Schizosaccharomyces pombe: one gene and its partners. The gene in region 3 interacts genetically with the main gene of each other region. Each region holds a gene or a part of one and is shown on either strand. Other genes may lie near its edges. The genes, in order: sam1, nrd1 and msa1.

Evidence for each region.
Region 1: of msa1 (region 3) and sam1, extra expression of one rescues a mutant of the other (dosage rescue), as found in Schizosaccharomyces pombe (one study listed by BioGRID).
Region 2: of msa1 (region 3) and nrd1, changing one enhances a phenotype caused by changing the other (phenotypic enhancement), as found in Schizosaccharomyces pombe (one study listed by BioGRID).

Annotation. Positions count from the first base shown.
Region 1 is NC_003423.3:4,160,793-4,167,350, reverse strand, and holds sam1 (S-adenosylmethionine synthetase), read left to right. Parts: upstream 1-3,492; 5' UTR 3,493-3,674; coding exon 3,675-4,823; 3' UTR 4,824-5,282; downstream 5,283-6,558. Other genes in the region: Fe-sulfur ATPase Rli1, read right to left, coding at 474-2,198, 2,636-2,692. UniProt on the Schizosaccharomyces pombe protein: Catalyzes the formation of S-adenosylmethionine from methionine and ATP. The reaction comprises two steps that are both catalyzed by the same enzyme: formation of S-adenosylmethionine (AdoMet) and triphosphate, and subsequent hydrolysis of the triphosphate.
Region 2 is NC_003424.3:552,112-560,433, reverse strand, and holds nrd1 (RNA-binding protein Nrd1), read right to left. Parts: upstream 5,149-8,322; 5' UTR 3,804-5,148; coding exon 2,214-3,803; 3' UTR 1,383-2,213; downstream 1-1,382. Other genes in the region: tryptophan-tRNA ligase Wrs1, read left to right, coding at 1-1,117; palmitoyltransferase Akr1, read right to left, coding at 7,495-8,322.
Region 3 is NC_003424.3:2,317,904-2,327,119, reverse strand, and holds msa1 (RNA-binding protein Msa1), read left to right. Parts: upstream 1-4,294; 5' UTR 4,295-6,880; coding exon 6,881-8,482; 3' UTR 8,483-8,628; downstream 8,629-9,216. Other genes in the region: SPOM_SPAC6C3.03C (uncharacterized protein), read left to right, coding at 486-788; mix17 (CHCH domain-containing protein), read left to right, coding at 1,957-2,475. UniProt on the Schizosaccharomyces pombe protein: Negative regulator of sexual differentiation. Acts by repressing the transcription of meiosis-inducing, ste11-regulated genes.

The DNA of each region.
Region 1 (6,558 bases), on a different chromosome or scaffold from region 3:
GGATGTTTTGAAAAAAACACTCCAATTTGTTTTATTATTTAGAAAACACGGAAAACTAGCTTATATAGAACTCAACGCCACATTATCAAATATAGCTTTACAATACATTCAAGGGAATTTGTTCTCGTTAAATCTTACACATACTTTTCAAAACGTGAGAATTTATACGACCAAGTTGAAATTAGCTTAAAACACAAACAATTATATATAGTGTAAATTAAAGAGACGTTCACACTCTGAGAATTTATTGTATTTCAACTAATATTTCATACAACAATTCCCAAATACCAAATAAATTCTAAAACAAGTGCCCAATTACCTTAAGCATAATTATATGAAATAGACAAGAACTTTTTTTCTCAAAGAAGGCCGCCTCCAAACAAAGCTTTTTTACAACCAAAACCAATTTTGAGTATACAATTATGGAAACAAGGCAAGTAAACATAATAGAACCCCAGTATAGCCATTAAACATTAATTTTCAAGGAAAAAATAATTTCCTGCATTCTTTTGCTCTTGATCCATTTGACTGTCGAACTTGTTGATACGTGGTCTCAAGGTATTAGGATCACGACGGAATGTAACATCCAAGTTCTTCAAGAAAGTGTTCATACCAGTAAGAAGTGATTGAGGAGGATTACATCTAGCATCACGAGAAGGTTGTCCCTCGAAAAGGATGACACGGTCAGCCAAATAAGTAGCCATGATAAAATCGTGTTCAACGATAAAAGCAGTCTTGCGTGAGTTGACAATAAATCTCCTAATAACCTTGGAAGCAATAATACGCTGCTCTGAATCAAGATAAGCAGAAGGCTCGTCAATTAAGTACACATCAGCAGGCATACCCAAAGCTAAGCAAATGGCAACACGTTGCAATTCACCACCAGACAAGTTCAATACCTCTTGATCAATGATGTTGTCAATGCTAAGAGGCTTGCAAACTTCACTCTGAAACTTGCCATTCAAGAAAGCAGCACGAATCTTTTTCAAAAACAGCATACGAACGGTACCTTGAAATTTAGGTGCGATTGTTTGGGGCTTCATGCTAATCTTCAAATCCGAGTTCTTAGCCATCCACTTGCAGAATGTAGTTTTACCAGTACCATTCTCACCAAGCAATACAATAATCTCAGCATCAGAAAAACCACCAGACTTAATTGTAAGCTTGAAATCACCTTGCTCAATGACATGATCGGGATAATTGTACTCCGCAGTTCTGTCAGCGGTAATTTCATCAGATGCGTCAGCAAGACGGAATGTCAATGCCTCAGAACGGAATCTCAAATTCTCGGTAGGAATATGACCGTCAAGGAAAATATTAATACCTTCACGAACAGAATAGGGGAGAGTGACAACACCATACATAGAGGGGACGCCGTATAATACACAAACGAAATCGGAGAGATAATCAAGGACGGAAAGATCGTGTTCAACAACAATCACATAGTTGGTAGTAGCCAACAAGCTGCGGATTACACGACCAGCTTTGAGACGTTGTTTAATATCCAAATAAGACGAAGGCTCGTCAAACATGTAAACGTCAGCTTTTTGAGTGGCTACGGCAGCAATAGCAAATCGTTGAAGCTCACCACCAGAAAGATGGCCAACCTCACGATTTAAAAGATTTTGAAGATCGGTGTGATCCATAACTTCTTCAAAATTATTGTTGTTTGCACGAGCTTTAATTAAACCAGATACAGTTTTGTCACCAGTTTTAATCGCCCGTGGGATATGATCAACGTATTGAGGTTTGATAAGAGCCTTAATGTTATCTTCAACAACTTTGGTGAAAAAGTTTTGAAGTTCACTACCACGGAAGTATTTGACAACTTCAGCCCAGTCAGGAGGATTATCATAACGACCTAAATTAGGCTTCATTTTTCCGGATAGGATCTTTAACGCAGTAGACTTTCCAATACCGTTAGTACCAACTAAGCCCAAAACTTGACCAGGACGAGGAGTAGGCAAACGATGAAGCTTGAAAGAATTAGCAGAGTAACGATGGGTTACTTCACTTTCCAAGTTAGTGGGCAAATTAATAATGTTGATAGCTCCGAATGGACATTTTTTGACACAGATACCACAACCAATACATAATGTTTCACTAATAAATGCAATGCGATCGGTAGGATTAACTTCAATACACAATTTACCGGTGCGCACGACAGGGCAAGACCGGCGGCATTCTTGCCGACATTTCTAAAATATTGGTGAGCAAACTAATAAAAACCAAACATTCTAAAACCAGAAGCATTAAAAGCAAAGGAAAGTTTCGTAAGCAAGCAATAAAACGTATTTTAACGTGACACAGACCACTTTGAAAGTTTATTTAAATTTTCGGTCCTTTACCTTACAAGAACCTTTAGATTCGTTTAACCAACATATGGTGACAGCCAAGCCAAGCAAAAATTTACTACTAGTCCGAAAGTGCTTGGCAGATCGTAACAGGATCAAAAAATCTGAACAGAGGTACAATCAGGGCAGTTAAAATATGTTTTAATACTTGAACAAACAAAATTTGACTCAACTCTTTTCGTGGAAAACTTTGTGCACACACAAAAAAGCTCCAGTCATCCACAACGAGTAGACTATAACCTTCTACTAATAAAGCTCCTTTAATTTTTTTATTTTCTTACCTTTGGTCTACACTTATCCTCACTAACAATGGCGATTCTAGTAAGACTTTCGCTCATGGTGTTGAGTAGGGTGCAGTTGGCAAAGGACAACTTAAGGTGCGCCCAATTTTTTGCTTGTACTACCAGTCAACCTACTACAGTTTATAAAAATGCTACATTACATTTCGAATAAAATAAATAAAAAAGATAAATTCAAGTTTCTGAGACTGTAGAAAGATGTATTTTCTTAAATCGTCATTACGAAAATTTTTTATTGCCAATACGGACCTAGCGCTAAGTCATTGCCCATTTAATTGCAGACCAAATAATTGGTCAAAGATATGAAAGTTTGGAAGAGCCAGTTTTTGCAATTAAAAAACATAAGAATGAAGAAAAGAAAAACATCCTTCAATCTGCATAAATACTTATAAGATGCACATTGCATTAGCACACTCAATGCCCAAGTCCAGCCAATATCTAAGGGGACAGCTGGGTTTATTATATATTCAAGCTTCTTTAAATATCTACTAAATTTGCAGTATATAGTTCATCAATCGTAAACATAATTGTAAAAATAAATTGACAGTCAAAGACCCTTCTACTTTTACTTCAAATTGAAAATACAGCGATTTATCAAAATACGAAATACACTTTTTCGTGCTTTCCTTATTTTTTTAATTCATTACAGTCTAGCACTATAAAAAATTTAACATACTATTACCCCTGCTTTTAAATAACAATTGCGCAGAACAATTTGTCTCTACCAGATATCACTATTCTAAAATTGCTCAAGAAATTGAAAAAATGGCGCTACCATCCTGATAAGCAGTCACAACTATAATCAGCATATAAGGCTAAAGAATAACCTTACTTGCTTTACGAAACCTTGAGAGCTTCTTTTGACGAAATTCGCAAGCATATCTACATTTATTAGATTCATTGATAAAGAAGGGTTTTCATTGTTTCCTTATATTTGACGAAACTAATCGCTTGTCTTATTGTTCAATCTTTTCTAGTTTTTTGATTCCATATTTCCTTTACAAGTATCTTGGATTCCCCAATGGCTCAAACTTTTTTGTTTACTTCTGAATCTGTCGGTGAAGGTCATCCTGACAAAATTTGCGACCAAATATCTGACGCTATTTTGGATGCTTGTTTGAAGGATGACCCCTTTTCCAAGGTAGCATGTGAGACCGCTTCCAAAACCGGTATGGTAATGGTTTTTGGTGAAATTACTACTCGCTCACAAATTGACTACCAAAAGGTTATTCGTAATACCATTAAGAGCATCGGTTATGATGACTCTGAGAAGGGTTTCGATTACAAGACTTGCAACGTCCTCGTCGCCATCGAGCAACAATCTCCTGATATCGCTCAAGGTCTTCACTATGAGAAGGCTTTGGAAGAGCTCGGTGCTGGTGACCAGGGTATTATGTTTGGCTATGCAACTGATGAGACCCCCGAGAAGTTACCTTTGACCATTCTCCTTGCTCACAAACTCAATGCTGCCATGTCTGTCGCTCGTCGTGATGGATCTCTTCCATGGTTGCGTCCTGATACCAAGACTCAAGTCACTATTGAATATGAAGAGGAAAACGGTGCTGTCATCCCCCGTCGTGTAGATACCATCGTCGTCTCTGCTCAACACGCTGATAGCATCTCTACTGAAGACTTGCGTTCTGAAATTTTGGAGAAGATCATTAAGCCTACTGTCCCTGCTCATTTGTTAGATGAGAAGACTGTTTACCACATCCAACCTTCTGGTCGTTTCGTTGTTGGTGGTCCTCAAGGTGATGCTGGTCTCACTGGTCGTAAGATTATTGTTGATACCTATGGTGGCTGGGGTGCTCACGGTGGTGGTGCCTTCTCTGGTAAAGACTACTCCAAGGTCGATCGTTCTGCCGCCTATGCTGCTCGTTGGATTGCCAAATCTTTGGTTGCTGCTGGTTTGGCTCGCCGCTGCCTTGTCCAACTCTCCTATGCTATTGGTGTTGCTGAGCCCCTTTCTATTTTTGTCAATACTTACGGCACTTCTTCCAAGACATCTGCTGAGCTTGTTGAAATTATCCGCAAGAACTTTGACCTTCGTCCTGGTGTTTTGGTCAAAAGCCTTAAGCTTCAAACTCCTTTCTATCTTTCCACCGCTTCTTACGGTCACTTCACTGATCAATCCAAGCCTTGGGAACAACCTAAGGAGCTTAAGTTTTAGACAGATAGCTTAGTGCTATCATTAGCTTTTCTCGTTTGTTACGTTAAATACGATTAGAACATGTAACGAATTCTCAGTTGATGGCTTTATGGATACATGGTTTTCTTTAAAGATGAAAAGATTTTAGAGTTGTCTTTATTTATTCTATGTTTGCTTCTTTGTTCTTCAATTGTGAAAGATATATGGTTTTATATGTTAAGTCCTGGTTCAACGGATATGTATTTTTTTTTGGACTGGGTAGGCACAAATTCAACCTTTGTGTTTATGACTGCATCTCGAAGCGGAAAATACACTAAGCCAAAAATTTTTTTGCATACCGACATGTTAATGTTTCTTTTACCGATAGGCTTAGTGTTATTTGATGCTTTTCACGATAGTTATTATTTGCTGACTTTCAACTAGTTGGCCACTTTCGTTTAAATTGAGTTAATTATATGTTAATGGATTTGGTTCAAGACATAGTGTTTTAATCGTATAAGAACGAGTACTCATCTTCACTGTAGCTAATTTAGCTCGCTCACTTGTAACAAGGTGCATGCACACACAATACAAGCGTTTTGATTTTATTGTAATTTGTAATGAATTGAAAATGTCAAACTTAAAAAGGTAGACAATCATTCAGCTTTCAAGATGATCTGTGATAGTAAATGTCATTGGATTAAAACACATTGCTTGCTTACATTATTGTATTTATGGAATAAGCGATGGATTCTCAGCGATCCTAAAAGTACTTAGAATTATATTGGTCTTTTTTTTTGTAGTATAAATATTCAAAAATTCTTCACTAGATGTCTACGGCCATACCTAGGCGAAAACACCAGTTCCCGTCCGATCACTGCAGTTAAGCGTCTGAGGGCCTCGTTAGTACTATGGTTGGAGACAACATGGGAATCCGGGGTTTTGTAGGTTCCTTCTTTATTATTGCTGTTTGGTTTTTACCTTCTCTTTTGGAGCATATTTTGAGTACTGAATTGTGAATCTCAAATTCTATAGATGTTGCTACTCGTTGATTAAGCAATGCTAGAGCAGACTTTGAACTCTCAAATCAAATAATTAAGAAGTTTATGAAAGAAGGCTCTTGTCTTTGTCATGGGTATCGTCAAGCAAAATTCGATGTCTACATCAGATATTGTATAGGAAAATTATCAGATGAATTAGGAAGCATTGTCAACATGCAGAAAGAAATACGGTGTACCATAATACAACATTTGGAATATTTACTTCAATCTGCTAAACTACTTTAGAAGTCAACCACATAATATGGTATTGTCAGCAATACTGCACTACGATATGACATACTACGTTGCGTATCACTATATGTCACATGTTCAACATCAGATCATAGATATCCGTTGATAACAACTATTAGAAAGATTATAAATAGAGCTACAACTGAACCTCGTTCCTCAATTCAGTTATGAGCTATATCGGTGACCGATACTAACAGACTTCTTATAACAATAAATATACATTGTTAGTTAACATACCGCATACCGCTACATTGTAGATCGCAAGTAAAAACTCACCGCAGTTCTATATATCGTTAAAACAGATATCAAACTGCGTAGCTAACCAGTATATATTATAACAATACATGAACCTACGGTAAGTTTTCCTTGTGATCTATATATTGCAATATGTAAATAACACAGTAGCAACTGAATAAAAGGTATTCTAATATTTGAAATGTATGCTTTATCTTTACTGAAAAAGCCTTAGCTAAAGTGGAGAACGA
Region 2 (8,322 bases), 1.8 Mb from region 3:
AATCGATTATGAGCGCTTAATCGTTCAATTTGGCACTAGGAAAATTACTCCTGAACAACTTGAGCGCTTCGAAAAGCTAACTGGAAAGAAGCCTCATTTATTACTTCGTAGAGGTGCTTTCTTCTCCCATCGTGATTTTGATATGATTTTGGACCGCTATGAGCAGAAGAAACCTTTCTATTTGTATACAGGTAGAGGACCAAGTAGTGACAGCATGCATTTAGGCCATATGATTCCTTTTATGTTTTGCAAGTGGCTTCAGGATGTTTTTCAAGTGCCATTGGTCATCCAGTTAACGGACGATGAGAAGTTCTTGTTTAAGCAAGGTGTTTCCTTAGAGGATTGCCAACGATTTGCTCGTGAGAATGCTAAGGATATTATTGCTGTTGGGTTTGATCCAAAAAAGACTTTTATTTTCATGAACAGTACCTATGTTGGAGGTGCGTTTTATCAAAATGTCGTTCGTATTGCGAAATGCATTACTGCAAACCAATCCAAGGCTTGTTTCGGCTTCACCGATAGTGACTCTATTGGAAAAATACATTTTGCGTCAATTCAAGCCGCTCCTAGCTTCAGCAGCTCCTTTCCTCATATCTTTAATGGCGCCAAAGATATCCCGTGTTTGATTCCTTGTGCAATCGACCAGGATCCCTACTTCCGCTTGACGCGTGATGTTTCTGGTAGGTTGAAATTTAAGAAGCCTGCACTTTTGCATAGTCGCTTTTTCCCAGCTCTCCAAGGACCACAATCAAAAATGAGTGCCAGTAAAGATTCTTCTGCGATTTTCATGACTGATACTCCAAACAAAATTAAAAATAAGATCAACAGGCATGCTTTCTCTGGAGGTGGCGCTACAATCGAAATCCACCGTGAAAAAGGAGGTAACCCAGACGTTGATGTTGCATATCAATATCTTTCTTTTTTCCTAGATGACGACGAGAAGTTGAAACAATTGTACAATACCTATAAGGCTGGTACTCTTTCAACCGGAGAAATGAAAGGAGAGTGTATTAAGCTTTTACAGCAGTTCGTTTCTGACTTTCAAGCAGCACGTTCGAAAGTTGATGAGGCGACCCTTGATATGTTTATGGATGGATCTCGTAAGTTAGAGTGGTAGATGCGTTGTCTTTCTTTCATTTTACAAATAGTGTAAATTAGATACTTGTTTAAGTTGCATTATACAATGAAACTGAATAAACTGTTTTTAGATTGTGCTACAATGTTCAGCTGTTCTAATAAATGAGGAAAACATTTACAGCACCAAACGCACAATATAAATAGAGACTCAAATACTGATGCCTTTTCAAAACTCATTACTACGGTAGAGTTTTGTTATGTTTGCATTCATTAATTACCGAACTTTGTACAATCTCTCAACGACGGTGTAGGATGAGCAAAAGAAGAGATGTATATTTACCTAGACCAAAAATATATACATAAGATCATTAGAACAATTTCGGTTTGGAACTAGTAGACAATAATGGGTTGAAAAACGCATTTAGAACGCGACAAATAAACCATAATTAACAAACTAGCATTTAAATATGACCAGACAATCAAATTAAAGCTATTGTTAAGTATTAATCAACACCGTTGAAGTCTTCAGCAATCACTTTTGATAAAGAAATAACGTTGAAAATCGAAACATAAATATATAAGAATATGTAGAATGAAAAAAAAAATAAAAATAGAAGTCAGAAGTACATTTTAAAACTGTAATTGAAAATGTGGAAAGATTCGTCAATATTGTTTGCAAAAACGAATCAAAAACGAAGGACATCGAGCTTTTGATAGAAATACAAACTCGATAACCTCTAACATAGTAGAAAAAATGCCAAATAAAACAAAAAAAAACTGCTACTTCAACAATGAAGGTTTTATAATGCGTAAAAATGAAACAAAGTAAGAAGAAAAGAGTATGGGCCACGTTGAGTAAGGGGCATAAACGAGAGAAAGTAAAACGAAGGAATGTTGAAACAATAGCAAGTAAGGTCATTTAAACAAAAGAATACTTTTTCTTTTGTAATGCGAATGCAAATGGTTACCCTTAATAATCTAATGTAAAAAAGAAAGTGATTTTGTAAAATAAGCAATAAAAAAGTTCGTCAATAAAAGGTGTTTTATGAGCACAAATTGATATGAACTCAAAGCGCTGGAAAACCTTTATCCATAAAAATATCGAACACGTTTAAGAGCAAAACACTCTACAATATTTAAATATTGGAGTTTGTTGGCATAAACCCGGATATTCCTTGCTGAGGAACAACGAGATCAACAGGCATGCTCATATCAGAAGAGACAGAAAGAACGTCTGACTTGGAATTAGTTCTAGGTGGATTACCACACCTATCTTTACCATAACTAATTCGATAGTTTTCATATCCCTTCTTCTGCTTGATTCGATCAATCGCATTAATCGCACTTGCCAACGACGTAAAGTTAACAAAAGCGCAATTCTTTTCGCGGAAAAAGTTGACGTACTCAATTTCGCCAAATTCCTCAAAATCCTCTTTTAAGCGTTCAATAGTCAAAGAATCATCAGCATTGCCAATATAAATGTTACGACTAGCACCACCAGCAACGGCTAAAGCGATATTTGAGGGAAGAGGGCCGCTATGCTTACCCCAACCTATCTTTAAACGACGGTTGCGAATGACCAAACCATGAATGTTGGACATTTCAAAGAATCGAAAAGCAGAAACAGGGTCAACAAAAGTTACGAAACAAATGTGTTTTTCCTGAAGATAACGAATATTGTGTAACAATCCTCCACGAACAGCGTTACATATCTCTTCAATAGTAGTATCAGCATGGATATTACCAATGTAAACAGTGCGATTCCCAGTCATGATAAGATCCGGTTTTTGGAGAACCGGGCTTGGGGGAGGATACCCCATTACGGGATAACCGCCAACAACGCCGACTTGGCCTTTAGAAAAGTAAGCAGGTTGCTTCAAACCCACAGCGCATCTATCCCGTCCGTAGTAAATGCGCCGTTTGGACCATTTGGGGTTTAATGGTAGCTCTTGGACAGCTTTGATTGCAGCTGCAATGTTCAAAAAATGAACAAAAGCTATATTTCGTTCAGTTACGATTTTGATTTGATCAATAGGTCCAAATGGTTCTAAATCTTCACGAATTTCATCTTCAGTAATACCATTCGGCAAGTTGCCGAGGAATACATTCCTACAAGCGCCAGATTGCTGGACTGCAAGTAGTACAGATGAATTCGAGGCTGAGTTCTTGCCCCAACCAACTTTTACTTCAGTACCCCGAATTGTCAATCTCTTCAAGGCAGCATCTTGGAAAAAGGCAGTAGCGTGGCTCGGATCCAAAAAGGAAATAAAGGCACAATTTTTCTCAGGTAGAATCCATGCAGATTCAATTGGTCCCGTACGCACGCAAGAAAGAATCTCATCAATAGGGGTATTGGGAGGAAGGTTACCAACATACACAGTTTTAACAGGTTGTGTAGTGTTATTCGGAAGTGGAAAGTAACCCGGGGCAAAGTTAGCAACATTAGGACTGGTAACACGTGAAACATTATAGCCAGTCGTGGGATGAGCGGGAGCCGCTGCCATTTGGGTAGTGCTAAAGGGCAAGCCATGCATGGAAGTATAGCTCGTTGGGCTTTGAACAAAAGGACTCCCCATAAGAAGCCCGGTAGGGAGTAGAGCATGCGGTGTGTTTGGTGTAGCGAGACCTTCAGCACTTACAGTATGAGGGATAGTAAGTGGTGGTAAATGTGGAGTTCTTCCAGGGACAGAAAGACGGGACTGACTAGAGGGACTGCTAGAAGACATAATGACCGAAATCAATAACTGTTAAAGAAAGAATTATACTAAGAGCACAGCTGCTTGATTGACAAAGGAAGAAATGTAAAATAAAGAAATCAACGAGAGTGACGTTTGGTAACAAATAATAAAGGGGTATATCTTACAATTTATATCACTTTGAAATATATCGAAAACCAAAATCGGACCAATAAAGCTCACGAACTTAGGAGGCAACTTATGATGCGTTTAACGATAAAAATCCAAGCGGGTAATAAATGAATAGTTAAACAATATCGCTTAAAGCTAACAACAAGTCTGTTTAAAAAACTCAATTAGACGAGAAAGACAATAATTAATAGCAACGGAAAATCTTAGCCAAAAGAAAACTGTCAACGTCCAACGTATTTTTTAATTCTAAAAATAAGAAAACTCGTAATTCCCAAACTGAATAAGGAAACTTAGACTGAGAGGCACGTAGGCAAAGCGAATAAATGGAAGGAAAAAATGCGAATGAAACAAGCAGATCACAACAACCTCAACAAAATCTTGAATGATGTGGAAAGGAATATGAGCCTAACAATGGTAAAAATTTTTTTTTTTTTAATTTTTTAAAAAATTAAGCTTACTAAGTAAAGATACCGAACAAGAGTATTAGACTTACTCCAAGAAATTGATGGAGAATAAAACAAAGTGAAATGAACAAGAGTATGACCAAAAAAGCAAAGTATACAATTCAAAGTAGTACGAAAGAATAATCAATCAAAGAATTCTAAAGACGCGTAGAAGTGTATTTTATCTTATAAAAGAAGAGGAGAAAAGTCAACAGTATGGTCGACAGTGAAAGAAGGAGTTTTAGAGAAGAAAAAAATGAAAAGGGAAAGTTAAATTTCCAAGATAATAATGATTATGAGGAGTACAATGGAAGTAAAAAAAATAAAAAAAAAGAATATAGAAAAACTGGAATAAATATATTCGGAAGGCTTGGTAAAAATGCAGGGAAGAGAAAGTAGATTGAAGTCAATGCGTTCTAACGACCCAAAATATAGTATCACAGAGGAGTAAGAAGAGAAAAGAATGTGGAAATGAAAAAAGAAAATGAAAAAAGGCGATGATATTTATTTCACAGGTAGATTTAAAAGGTTGCTTAAAAAGCAAATAAAGGAGAAACAGAAAAAAAATAAGAGAAACAAGTACCAGTATTAGCGAATAATCAATAAGTATACCGCGAAACAAAAAAAATCAAAGCTTCAAAGTAATACACTCATATAAATGCAAATGGTAGAGAAAGAAATATGTTTTTGAGAAAAAAGAAATGAAAAGAGAAAGAATATTAGATATAGCCAGCGGCTATTCGTGTGGTTGAGTATTTGGTAGTGAGCACGTTAACGGCTTTTCGTTACTGCACTAATATTACTGCGTGCTTATAGAGAGAAACAAGCTACATGCCATTAACGATTATCCAGCGTACACCAACATGTGAATATGCCGCCCAAGGTAACATTAATTCTGGATGTTCCTTCAACGACAGAGCGCGAGTGCACAATCGAATGTAAACACTTGACAACGAGCATGGCAACGAAAACAAACAAAAAAGAATGCACTTGTATGGATTGCGGCAATGAGTTAAATAGTAATAGTGGTAAAATAAAGTAAATATATGCCAGTATAGACATATATTAGAATGGCCCACTAACAAGCACGCGCAAACCAAGTTTTCACACACTGTTTTAGAATTTTTCCATCAACGCCGCGTTGTAAATAAAAGTAAATAAATAAGCAGCCGAAGTGGCTCCCCGAGAGTTTCACACAATTTCGCCCACGTACGTATGTGATTGTGTGCTAAGCAGCGTGGGACTCAAGCAAATAGTTAGACTAACTTGATACAAATGCAGACATGTAATCATCTTCCACTTTGTATAAACACAACGAAAATTTTTATGGGGGTAAAGCTTCTGTCGAAATCTCGCCTCGCTATTTCAGATGATTAGTCGATATCAAAGGAATAATTCATAGAAAAAAGCATGTAGTGCCAAGTGACAAGTGATATCTAACGATAAGCCGCTCATAAAAAAATGTAAACAAGAATAATCAAGAATGTTGGCCGAGCAGAATAAATTCCAAAAAAAAAAATAAATCTTCTGCATGAAAATTTAAATTATCTCGTGCAACAATAAATAATGAAAATCACACAAAAATGATAACTTTGACCGTATGTCTTCTTCCCTGAACGCTTTGCTAAGATGTGACTTAAATCCTAAGCTAACACATTGTTCAAAAGTCTCCGCCTTGCACGGTAGAGGAATATTTTCCGCGTGAAATTTAGGGGGCGTAGACAAGCTCAGTAACTGTCAATTTTCACTTTGGATTTTTCTTTCTTTTTCATTCTATTCAGCTTAGTAATTCATTGACTATCTAATTTGTATTTATCAAAATATTCCGCTGTTGCTTAATCTCTATACACAATTTCGCTGTGAGTCGCTTTATGGTGGCCGCCAAGAAGGGTGAGCGAAAGCGCTCTCTAATTATTACACTGACTGATCAGATAGCTAAATAGTCTCCTGCAAAATTGAGTCTTCTGCTAACTTCAATGCCGCTGTAGCGTAGAAAAGTAGACTCGGTAGCTATTGACCTAAACATATCGACTTTTCTTCAACTCTGCAAACTAACGATTGTCAAGGCGTAAAGGTTGCTACGGAGATTTACATATTTACCGGCCAAGGCGTTTAGTCATTTGATTCACCGTGATCATCGGCTTTCGTTTTTTTTTTTAGAAACTCGGGTTAGCAGAGAAACAAATGCCATAAAGTAGAAAAAAGGCATATGCTCGTTCATAACACTCTACTTAAATTGTTTGTAAATTTTGTCAGTTTACGTAAAAATTTTGGTTGTATACTTAATGTTTAGCACTAATTGTCCTTATTCATAAAAAAAAGCAATACAATTTGTTTTATTAATTAATATTAAAGTAATTAGAACACGTAAAGAAGCAGATATTAGGTTTCAAACTACATTGCGATATCTTCAACGAACTACTAATGACTTGGTTTCTTCTGTAATCTTTTCCACTTAACTGTATTCTATTTTACTAATATAGTCTTATTGTAATGTATTCGTGAATCCTCCATTACCCATTTCTTACACTAGAAAAGAAAAGAAAAACTAGAGACCTATACACGTTTCTAAATAACAAAAGCGTATCTCATAAAGATAACAAGAACACTTGAGCCGCTATAAAAGATTGATATTTTTTGTTGGATTAAACAATCCTAAAGCCCAATTTTCTGCAAAAATTATGATCTAGCCATATATAGCCAATCTCTACATAGCAAAAATGAAACAAAAATCTTTTCATTGCAAAAATTAATAGCAAGACGCCAGGTTTCATCAGTTCACACGCACACAAGAAAACTTGAAGTTCAAGTAAACCTTTACTTGTTTCAATCTCATCCTCCCTCACGTTGCAACAGGGTCCAACGACCTTGGAATAAGAAACGAGCCGTTCTACAAATCAAGGATTTCACGATACGTGACATAGCTAGCATTTAATGAGATTCAGAGTGAATCGCGAATATTCTAGTCTAACTTAACTCAACACTCCCGCAACGATGATCCGTGGAGGGATTAAAATTAAATGATGAAGTGATAACTTTTTAACGTTATCAGGCATTCTAACGTTCCATTCTTAATGTTTATAATTAAATTTTTAATCGACAACAATTTAAACATGTCTTGTTGCCTCATCTTGCCGACCATCGTTAAGAAAGTTTTGCTTCCAAAATGTCTTACAGTTCTTAATTATGCTACCCTCATCATATGGATTGACTGTGGAAAGATTACGAGACAAAGAGGTAGAATTTTGGGAACCTAACTCAGCTCTCGATGGGAAACATCTCACAAAGCAATTTGATTCTCTAATTAACAATATACACTGATCCAATCCCAGGATACCACATACTGTACGTAGAAAGCTTCCATGAATTCCGTGACCATTTTTTGGAGATGAATTTTGCTTTGTAGGAGGAACGAGAGTTCCATATCGTTTAAATAGTCGGAATTCGGCTGTGGTCACGTTGTGAGCAACTTGACAAATCTGGGTAAAAGCTAAAACAACTACCCAACACCAATTCACAAACAAAGTTAGAGAAGCAACTAACACAAACATGTCTTTTAAAGACCACTGGCATATGGTACCAGAAATAAAAAGGCACCTATACGACTCGTATTTTTTTTGAATGGGGATATTCTGTAAATAATAAAATGCAACGTAAAAATAAATAGGAATTAAAGTAGACAATGTGAAGACAAAAAGAAGGAATGTTCTATGGTTCCGTGCCCCTACGCAATTTCCAGTCCAAGGACAATGGTGATCATAACGATTAATACACCTTTTACAAGCTCCACAATGATAAGAACGAGGAGGCTTAACTTGAAAGCATTTTAAACAATAATGAGATTGATTAAAAAGATCCTTGTCCAATAATTTGCTAATTTCTTCACGACGTTGAACGACGGCACCAATTTTGTCTACATATCCAGGATTTTGAAA
Region 3 (9,216 bases):
GTTACTATCAATAAACGCATCTTTGGTTCTTGGTTACCATACTTTGTGCTACAAATTTTATCTCTCATAAGTTTTTTTTCTTTTTTTTTTTTTTTTTTGAAATTTTAAATAGATAACAAGCCGAATTTCGAGAATTTGCTTGTCTTGATCAGGTAAAAAAGGGTAGTTGCTCCGATCGATCGAGCTAATGATATCAGTAAAGATCAAAATTTAGGAGAACTTCCGCGGTAGCGGATTTCTCAGTCAAACATAGTACTACAATAGATACAGAAAAGAATTGCTTAGCTATGCAAATATTTACTCAATGAACGTTGACTGAAGTAGCTTCATCTCTTGCATGTGCGTTACGGCAATGCATATGCATGTATCGGGAGTGAATAAATGAATAGAGATGTTGACAAGCGACAAGAAAATAATTTTTATAGGTAAGAAAGTTTTTGATAACTTTTTCTAACTGCTCAACCATTGCTATTGACGAAGTTTAGATGGATGTTTTTTTCTTAGGATTGCTAGTGGTAATCGCTATTTTCACTAACGCTAAGCGTTACAGCTCGTTTCGCTTTTTATTCCCATCCAAAAACTTGGACCCCAATGAGACAAAGTGGGGGTGGAATATTAGAATTGCGACTTTTAGATCGTTACTGAATACCATTCCAAGTATCCCACATTGGAGAACCATGTGGGGAACCGTTCGAGTTGGTATTGTACATACCCCGTCGGCCAAGGTAAGAGAGCGTGTAGACTGTAGTTACTACTTTTTGGCTAGAGGATTCAAAACTCAAAAATAGCTCTTAAAAATAAATATAGAAATGAATTAATTCAAAAACATATAATTTTTCTTCGGGATTCCTTTTTTTTACAACAACAGTCATTTCAAGTGCTTTGACTTGACAGACGCAACATAAATAAATAAATAGAACACTTTGATGCAAAGTATCGAATTCCAACATATCTCTCTAGACTGCTTTTCTATTAAAACCATGACTACTAGTGTTTCCATATAAAAATATAAAGAGATCCATCAACAACTAATACGTACATATTAGATTTTGCATTCCCAAATTGCTTCGTTATTTCACATACACCCATTTATTTAAAACGAGTTAAGAGTAACATCATTTGAAATCAACTGAAACATTTATATAAGCTGATTTTTCACAATCTTGCTATTTCACTAGTGTGGAACCTGGAGCTGCTTCATAGTTTTATACAATAGCATAACAAAACTCCAATAATCTCATTTATACTCTGACTCACCAAGTCGATGATGTGTATCTATTTAGGTTAAATTGATCAATTATATAATTGTTTCTCATATATTCCCTTACTTATCGTATTTATTATTTATTTATTTATTTTTATTTTTTGGAATATATACCGTCTAATTAATAATAACATGATTCTATCCACTACGTTATAAATAATGTTGGCTAAAAAAGTTTCTTTACGTAAAAAAAAAAAACAAAGTCAAATTGCTTTGCATACATGTGTCCAAAATTTACGATTATTGAGAATGATAGATAAAATCATAAATAAAAGTTTTGAAAGTGATGGAAGTTGCAATTTTCTTTCTTTATTGAAAACTTGTGCATCCATTTGTATTAGTAAACCAGCTTGGATTGTTAGGTAACTGTTACCCCAAGGGCATCTGGTCTATACGACTTGAGTGGTGCAAATATCCAAGTTGTACCTCATGTCTTCCAATCCGCTATAGCGAAGACGATGTTTGGTCGGAACGATTCTCTCCATTCATCGATTTTCTTCAGCTTCTTCTAGCAACGCTATATATATTCGTGCTCTCCGCCATCTGCCTCTTAAACACTCGTATATCGTTTATCCTTTCATTGACGGTATTCCTTTGCAGATATCGTAAACGAGTTTTCATAAAATTTAATCCTTTTTTGTTTATCTCTTACTTCCTTTGCCCATTTCCATCTCTTCACATAAATAAGTACGATGCCTCGTAGACGTTCTGCCGCACCTCCTCCTCGCCGTGCAGCTCCTGCCAGAAGTGCTTCCACTGCTGCTGCTTTACCTCCTAGGACAATGGCACCTCCTCCTGCTCCTAGTCGTGTGCAACAGGCTCCTCCTCCCACCGCCGTCCAAGGAGGCAGCTCACCTGGATTCTTCGGCAATCTGGTTAGTACAGCGGCTGGTGTTGGTATTGGAAGTGCTATCGGACACACGGTTGGCAGCGTCATAACAGGCGGTTTTTCTGGAAGTGGTTCCAACAATGCTCCAGCTGATACTAGTGTACCTCAATCTAGTTACAGCAACAGTGTTCCAGAAGCCGCTTATGGTTCAGCACCTCCATCCACCTTTGCCAGCAGTGCTATTTCTGAAGAGGCGAAGAATGCTTGCAAGGGCGATGCTAAAATGTTTGCAGATTGTATAAATGAGCATGAGTTCAGTCAATGTTCTTACTATTTGGAACAGCTAAAGGCTTGTCAGGCCATGTGGTCCAACCAACAATAAGAGGCAATGAACTAATTTATTTATTTTTCTATTAAATAAAAGTTATGCCCAGTTTGTTTGCATCAGCATCAGCATCGAAATTTTTTTTTTCATGTTTCTACTAACGAGAACGTTGAACCCTAATAGCATTTGTTAAGCAGTAAATAATAACTGGTTTCCCTGGTATAAGACATAGTATAAGAACGAGAAGAAATAAATCATATATGGTATTTTTTTTGTTTGGTTTAGTAATGAAGTTCTTTTTTTTTAAAATGGCCCAGTAATAAAAAAGTTCACGAAGAACGTAGTTAGAAAGCTTGATAAATAAATTAAATGAAATCTATGCTCTTTAGAAAGTTCTATGATCTGGCTTGGAGAAGAGTAGTACATAACAGTATGGTAATGTAGTTAGAGCTTCTCTTAACATGCGTACGTTTTCATACCTCTTAATAGTAGGGATGGTTCAGTTCATACAGCTACCTAGTTCACCCCATCAATCAATCAATCAATCGATACAGTCACTCTTCAAAGCATTTTGAGAGTTCTCCCACAGATTTTATGCTAGCTGGAGTTCCGACTTGTTTATTAAAGTAGGAAGGTTGGAAGCGAACCATATCTAACAAACTTTTTTCAAAACGAAAATTAAAAGCAAATTAAACTTTCATTGTCTTACGTCCCATGTTAGGGGGGGGAAGCAGCTAAACAATGATGATTTATAGATGGTTGCCTCGGCTATTATTTACTTTGTTTCATATCTGAAAGAAGAGTAAGGGATAGGATACGCCAAAGATCCACCATAAAACGGTTTATCAACAAAAGGATCATCATCGAATTTGGTTTATGAGTCTTTCAAATGTACTCGTGTTTGTTAGTTTAACATACTATTGCATCCACTAGAGATAGTTAAGAGAAGCTGATTTACAAATGATCGGTTTCGACATGTCTGCCAAGTTATACTTTTAACGTATTACCAAGAAAAAAAAATTTACGGGACGGGGATTCCATTCTTGCTGCTTTGGTTTATACTGTAAGCATAACAGCAATCTTAAATTGAATCGTCTTTGCCAAGCGCATTTGTAAGAGTATTGTATGCTATGCCACGCAGTGCATTTTCATATCCAACGCTACATACAATTTGTTGTTACTCTTTCTGTAGACCATTTCGGAACGTTGATTGAAGATCGGAAAATTTAATGTTTCGTCCAGAAATTGTCTGCATATGTAGTATCACAGAGAGTGTCAAGTCATATCTGACAGCATCAGGTTAATGAGCTTAATTTGGGCCAAAGGCGAGCTAGAAAAGAAGAAGAAAAAAAGAAAAAGTAAACAGTAAAGAAAAACATATAACGACTCTTATTCATCCTTCCTCAGCATTCCCTTTTTCATATTTTTATCCCATTCTAATCCTAGTCTAAGAAATGCTGGCGATATAGACCGAGTCTACTGGTGTCTGGAAAGGAACATAGCTATATCTATATATAGATATAGATATAGATATGTATGTATGCTTGTATTTCGTTGGCAGTTTTCTAGTTTAACTAGCAAAATACAAGAATTAAAATTAGTATTAGTATTATTATTATTATTTTTAAACATTTAAACATCGACTAATTTTTTCAACATCTGTTTTCACTTTCAAGTATCGACTACTTTCTACATTCCAACGATCCATTCTTTATTATAGATTCACCCTTTTCCTCGATAAATAAGCACCATTACACATACTTAAAATTTTTGTTTCAAAGGGAAGCTAAACTGTACGACGATGTTTATCGTTATACTCAGCTGTCACTTATCCAGAACTCACTCCATCAGAGTGCGTGCATTTAGCTTGCTCCCTGCACATCCCACTACAAAGTGTTAGAGATAGGCAATCGGAGTTAGAATACCGAGACTTTATTCCAAGGTAAAAACACATCTAGAAATGGGGACAAACAAAGAAACAAAAGGTCATGTGAATGTTAGATTCAAGGGGTAGAGTTCGATATCTCAGCAAGCGATTCCTTTTTTTTTTTTTTTTTTTTTTTTTGAGAAAACCTCGGTACACGCTAAGCTGGCTTTTCCTATTGTTACTCCTTTTACTACTAGTATTATACTATTGCTTTGCTTTGTTGAATAAACAGTCTATAGAACGCTCAAGAAAATACGACGAAAATAGTTTATTCATAGCTTGACAAACTAACTACCTTTGTTTTGTTTTGTTTTTTTCTTTTCTTTTTTTTTTCGTTTCTTAGCTTGGCTATAGCTTGCGTATTCTGTCTTTGTCAGTCATTAATCCAGACAGTAATATAACATATTCACCTTGTTCTTTTAAAGGTCTCCCTTTTTTTCTTTGTTGCTCATCTAGATTGTGCTTAATTTTTTTTTTGTATACTAATCAAAATTCAATTTATTTTTCTTTAGTTATTTATTTGTTTTTTTTTTCGCTTTATTGGATCCTATTGTAAAAAATCATCTTTTTCATTGTGCTTGCAATTTACCTTTCTTTGACGATTACGCCTTTGTTCACGACTTTTAGCATTCTTCCTTTTTCTATCTCCATGGGGCCGTTGTTAACTTACTCCTAAAATTTGTAGTTGCTTATCTTCACAACCAAAGGATGCTTCGGTGCAGCACCCAATTTTTAGCCCATTACCCTGTGCCCAATTCTCAATGTCTCATCATTTGTCAATACTAGCTTGTTCCTTATACTCCCTGTAACCCACTATCTAAGACATTGTGGAGAGGGAAATGTTGGCAGTAGTGATATACTTCCGAATGGACAATTGCCTATCAATCGTGGTAAAGGAGAATGGCTAGAATTTAGTAAAATGATATGGCCCAAATAGAACGGTAAAATTACTAAAAGATTGAGGATTTGAGGCAGCGTCTTGGTCGTTTGACTAATTATTAGAGTGTAAGCAGGATTCGGATGTATTGCTCCTTTAGTTAATCATATCGTCTGGTTTTGCTCCCTAATGTCCCTTGTCCTCTTTTATGCCGCCTACATTACCGATGAAGAACACGTGTTGAAATCCCCGAGTTTGCAAGTAGTCTTGATATACAATGTCTTTTCCTCGTATATTCCGAGCAGATCTAAACCTTCGTCGTGAATAACCCCCTTCTTTGCTTTCACCTAAATCAATTGCTATTCGAGGGTTTTCGATTCTCTCCTTTCTCCATTAACATACTAAATTCAATTTCTCTTTGTGTGGGTTGCTTCCTTTTTGCTGAGACGTCTCCCCGTCTTCCATCCTGTCTTTATCAGTTTTGTTGCATTTCTGATCACCCATTTTTTCTTTTTTTCCTTTTCTTTTGTTATCTATCGAATACCTCCACATTGCTTGAAATACTAGTGAGACTGCGTTTACCTTCTCTTCTCATCTGATTCTGTCTGTGCCATTGAGCTTTCCTTCGCTCTCCTCTTGCACCTTTTGTTGCGTTTACTGGCTTCTTTATTTTTATTTGTTTTCTTTTTCACCTCAAACTTTCTCTGTGTTCAGCTTTTCGAGATATTCAACTGCAATTGTACTGCTCTTTGATTCTTTCACCTTTTTCAATTCGAACTTGCTACTCCCTCAAGCTTATCCAATTATTTTTTAGCTTCCACTTGAGAAGAGTTCTCTCTATCCATCACCCAAAAACTGAAATTTCATCTTTGTGAAATTTCTTTCACGGTCTGATCACCGTGCAAGCTATTTCTATTCCCCATTTTACTTTTCTCATCATCTGACTCTTATTCTGGAAATACTCGTTTCCCCCACTCAAATATATATTTATTCTTTGGGCTTTCCTTAGACTATTGTTAGACTGCAAAGTCTCGTTTGGTTTACCTACTGTCTATCTCTGGTTTTGGTTTTTCATTTTCCATTTCTGTTTCAGCTGGTTTCTCAAAATCTTCATCCTTTCTTTCTTTCTTTCTTTTGACTCGTCATTTTTAAGAGCCATTCCATTTCTTTCTTATTTATACGTGTATAATCTCTATTTTATCTTTGCATTTTTGCACTAAATTACCATACGCTTGCGTTTTTTTCTTTCCCTATTTCTGCAATTTTATTACCTGAGTAAAAGTTTTCCCATTCGTTTTTTCCTATCCCTTCTTTGATCAATTTTATTTATCTTTTCTTTTGACCAAATTTTTTCTCTGGGGTTTTTTTTAAACTTTGTTTTGAAGGAAATTTTAAATTAATTAACTTTTAACTTTTTCAGTTGAAATACTTTTCATTCTTTTTTCTACGCAGCTTTTGGATTGCTGTTGACACATCATCTCATAACTATCTATTGTATTCCATATAATCGACTGATACGACCTCCATCCCACTTTGGCGCAGGCATCTCGTATAAAGTTTTGTCTTTTTAATTTGATATCAATCCGGCATCCTTGTTTCATGCCCCTTTATAGATCCTTTCTCATTCCAAACTTTTTTTTTAAACACATTATTTAAAAATGGTTGTTTCCTCTCCGTCTGTATCTTTATTGCATTCTCCTGTCGAAAAATTATCAGCCCAACTCGAAAAAACAACGCTTTTACAAGACATTCCCCCAGGTTCTTTATCCGAAAATGATAATTCCACTACCTTTATAAAGCCTCCTTTGGAAACTGCATCATCAAGCACCCCTATCCCAAGTTCCTCTTCCAGTGGAGTATTAAATCCGTCGTCTGTCCGTGGAAAACCAGTTGCCTGTTTATTTGTTGCTAGCTTAAACTCTTCAAGGTCTGAGGAAGAGCTGACTGCCACTGTTAAAGATTACTTTCAACAGTGGGGTCCTTTGTTGCATGTCAAAGTTTTGAAAGATTGGTTGCAAAGGCCTTATTCTTTTGTTCAATTTCAAAATACTGATGATGCATCGAAAGCACTTTCTGAAGCCCAAAACACGATATTGGATGGCCGTCATATACGTATAGAGCGCGCCAAAGTTAATAGGACAATCCGTATATCCTCTGCACCCCATCAACCTTACATTACAAAAAAAGACATAGATAACTTATTGGAACCTTATGGCGAGGTTGAAGATGTCACGGAAATACCAGATCAATCCGCTTTCTTAGTACGGTTTGTTTACAGGGATGAAGCAATCGCAGCCTATACCGCGCTTAAGCATTCTGCCTGGCCTGTACTTTGGGCGGAAAATGTGACATATCAAAACGGTCACTATAAGAAGAAAGGTTCCTCCCCGTTTTCTCCACCTAACGCACATAGTCGAAGGCGAAAGTCGCAAGGCAAAGATCAGTCGAACACTCCTGTTATCAAAGCACCTGCCCCTATTCCATTCTCAGTTTCTTCCGATCCTCCTTCTACCATGGGAAGATCAAATTCCGCGGTTCAAAGTCCCTCATACTTTGCTCACTCATTGGTCAATTCTACTGAATTCAGTACTCCTAATGAATCTTTAAGCTCCTTACCGAGTATATTACCTTCAATACCCTCTTTAGAAAGCGGCAAGGCCGAACTCCCAACAGATGGTTCTTTTGAACAGCCTGGATATCCCATGAACCCCTCTATGATGTTTGCTGCAATGCCTCCACCGATTGATCCTTATTCTATATTCGTTGGCCAACTCGACCCAGTAAATTGCACACACTACTTACTAGTTGATCTATTTTCCAAATATGGAAAGGTAATCGATTGTAAAATAATTCATCAAAGCAAGAAGCCTGCTTTTGCTTTTCTAAGGTTTGATTCTCAACAAGCCGCTTATGCTGCCGTCTGCGGTAAGACGAGGTCCCCACACCAGAAAAAGCCTTTGCGTGTTGAATTTCGTCAACTAAGACCAATGCAGCAATTTTCCCCTCAATATCAATATCCCTCCTATCCATATCCGATGTTTCCAGCGCCATTTTCACCACCTCGTAATGCAATGATGCCAATCCCTGCACCCATGGATCAGTTTTCAACATTTCACCAGTCAATGGCTACCCTTCCTCCTGGTGCCGTTCCCACATCAATTCCTCAGTCGTACTATCCCATTTATTCTCCAGAAATGGCTATGCCTCAATCGTACAGTCCGATGTATTATACGCATAACCCACCTATGGATGGGAATTAGATTTATTTTGAATTTCCCTTCATTATCTGATTGAGGTTTCACTTCTTTATACAGTCCTTAAGTGTCGGAGTTTTTTTTATTAGGTACATATTCTATAAAACACTAATAATTATCTAATTTATTTTACTTAAAAGATGCAAATTGGCTGCAATTATATTTAAAAGATTTAGAGTCATAAATGTTATTATGTTCATATATATGTCTTCTATATAATTTTACGAATTAGTGTAACTCGTAACAGTTCTCTACTTTACGCATTAACGATATAATGATATTAGATAGAAGTTTATTTATATATGCTCCCAAATATAGATGTTCTCACACATGTATCGTATACACTCTAACCATTTGATTATTTTCACTACATAAATTTTTACAAAAATACTATATAAAGTCAATTCATTTTATGAAATTTTTAATTTGAGGCTGTAATATTACGTGAACTTTTTATTTTGGCTTACTGGCGAACTGAAAAAAGAAAATTAGTTTTTTTTTTAACAGACCTCTATTTCATAGCTTTAGACTTTCTCAAAACACTAGTTTCATATAAATATTCCTTATAGACACTAAATACAAAAAAAGGTTCGTGAGGTAAAGAACCAGAAAAAGAAAAAAATTATAAAGACAGGACAAGCATAAGTTTACAAGGGACTATTATATACGGGGTATACGTTTCCTTGCTATACTGATTCTTTATACATCTCCCAATTTCGTTTGCTATATATTCTTGTTTC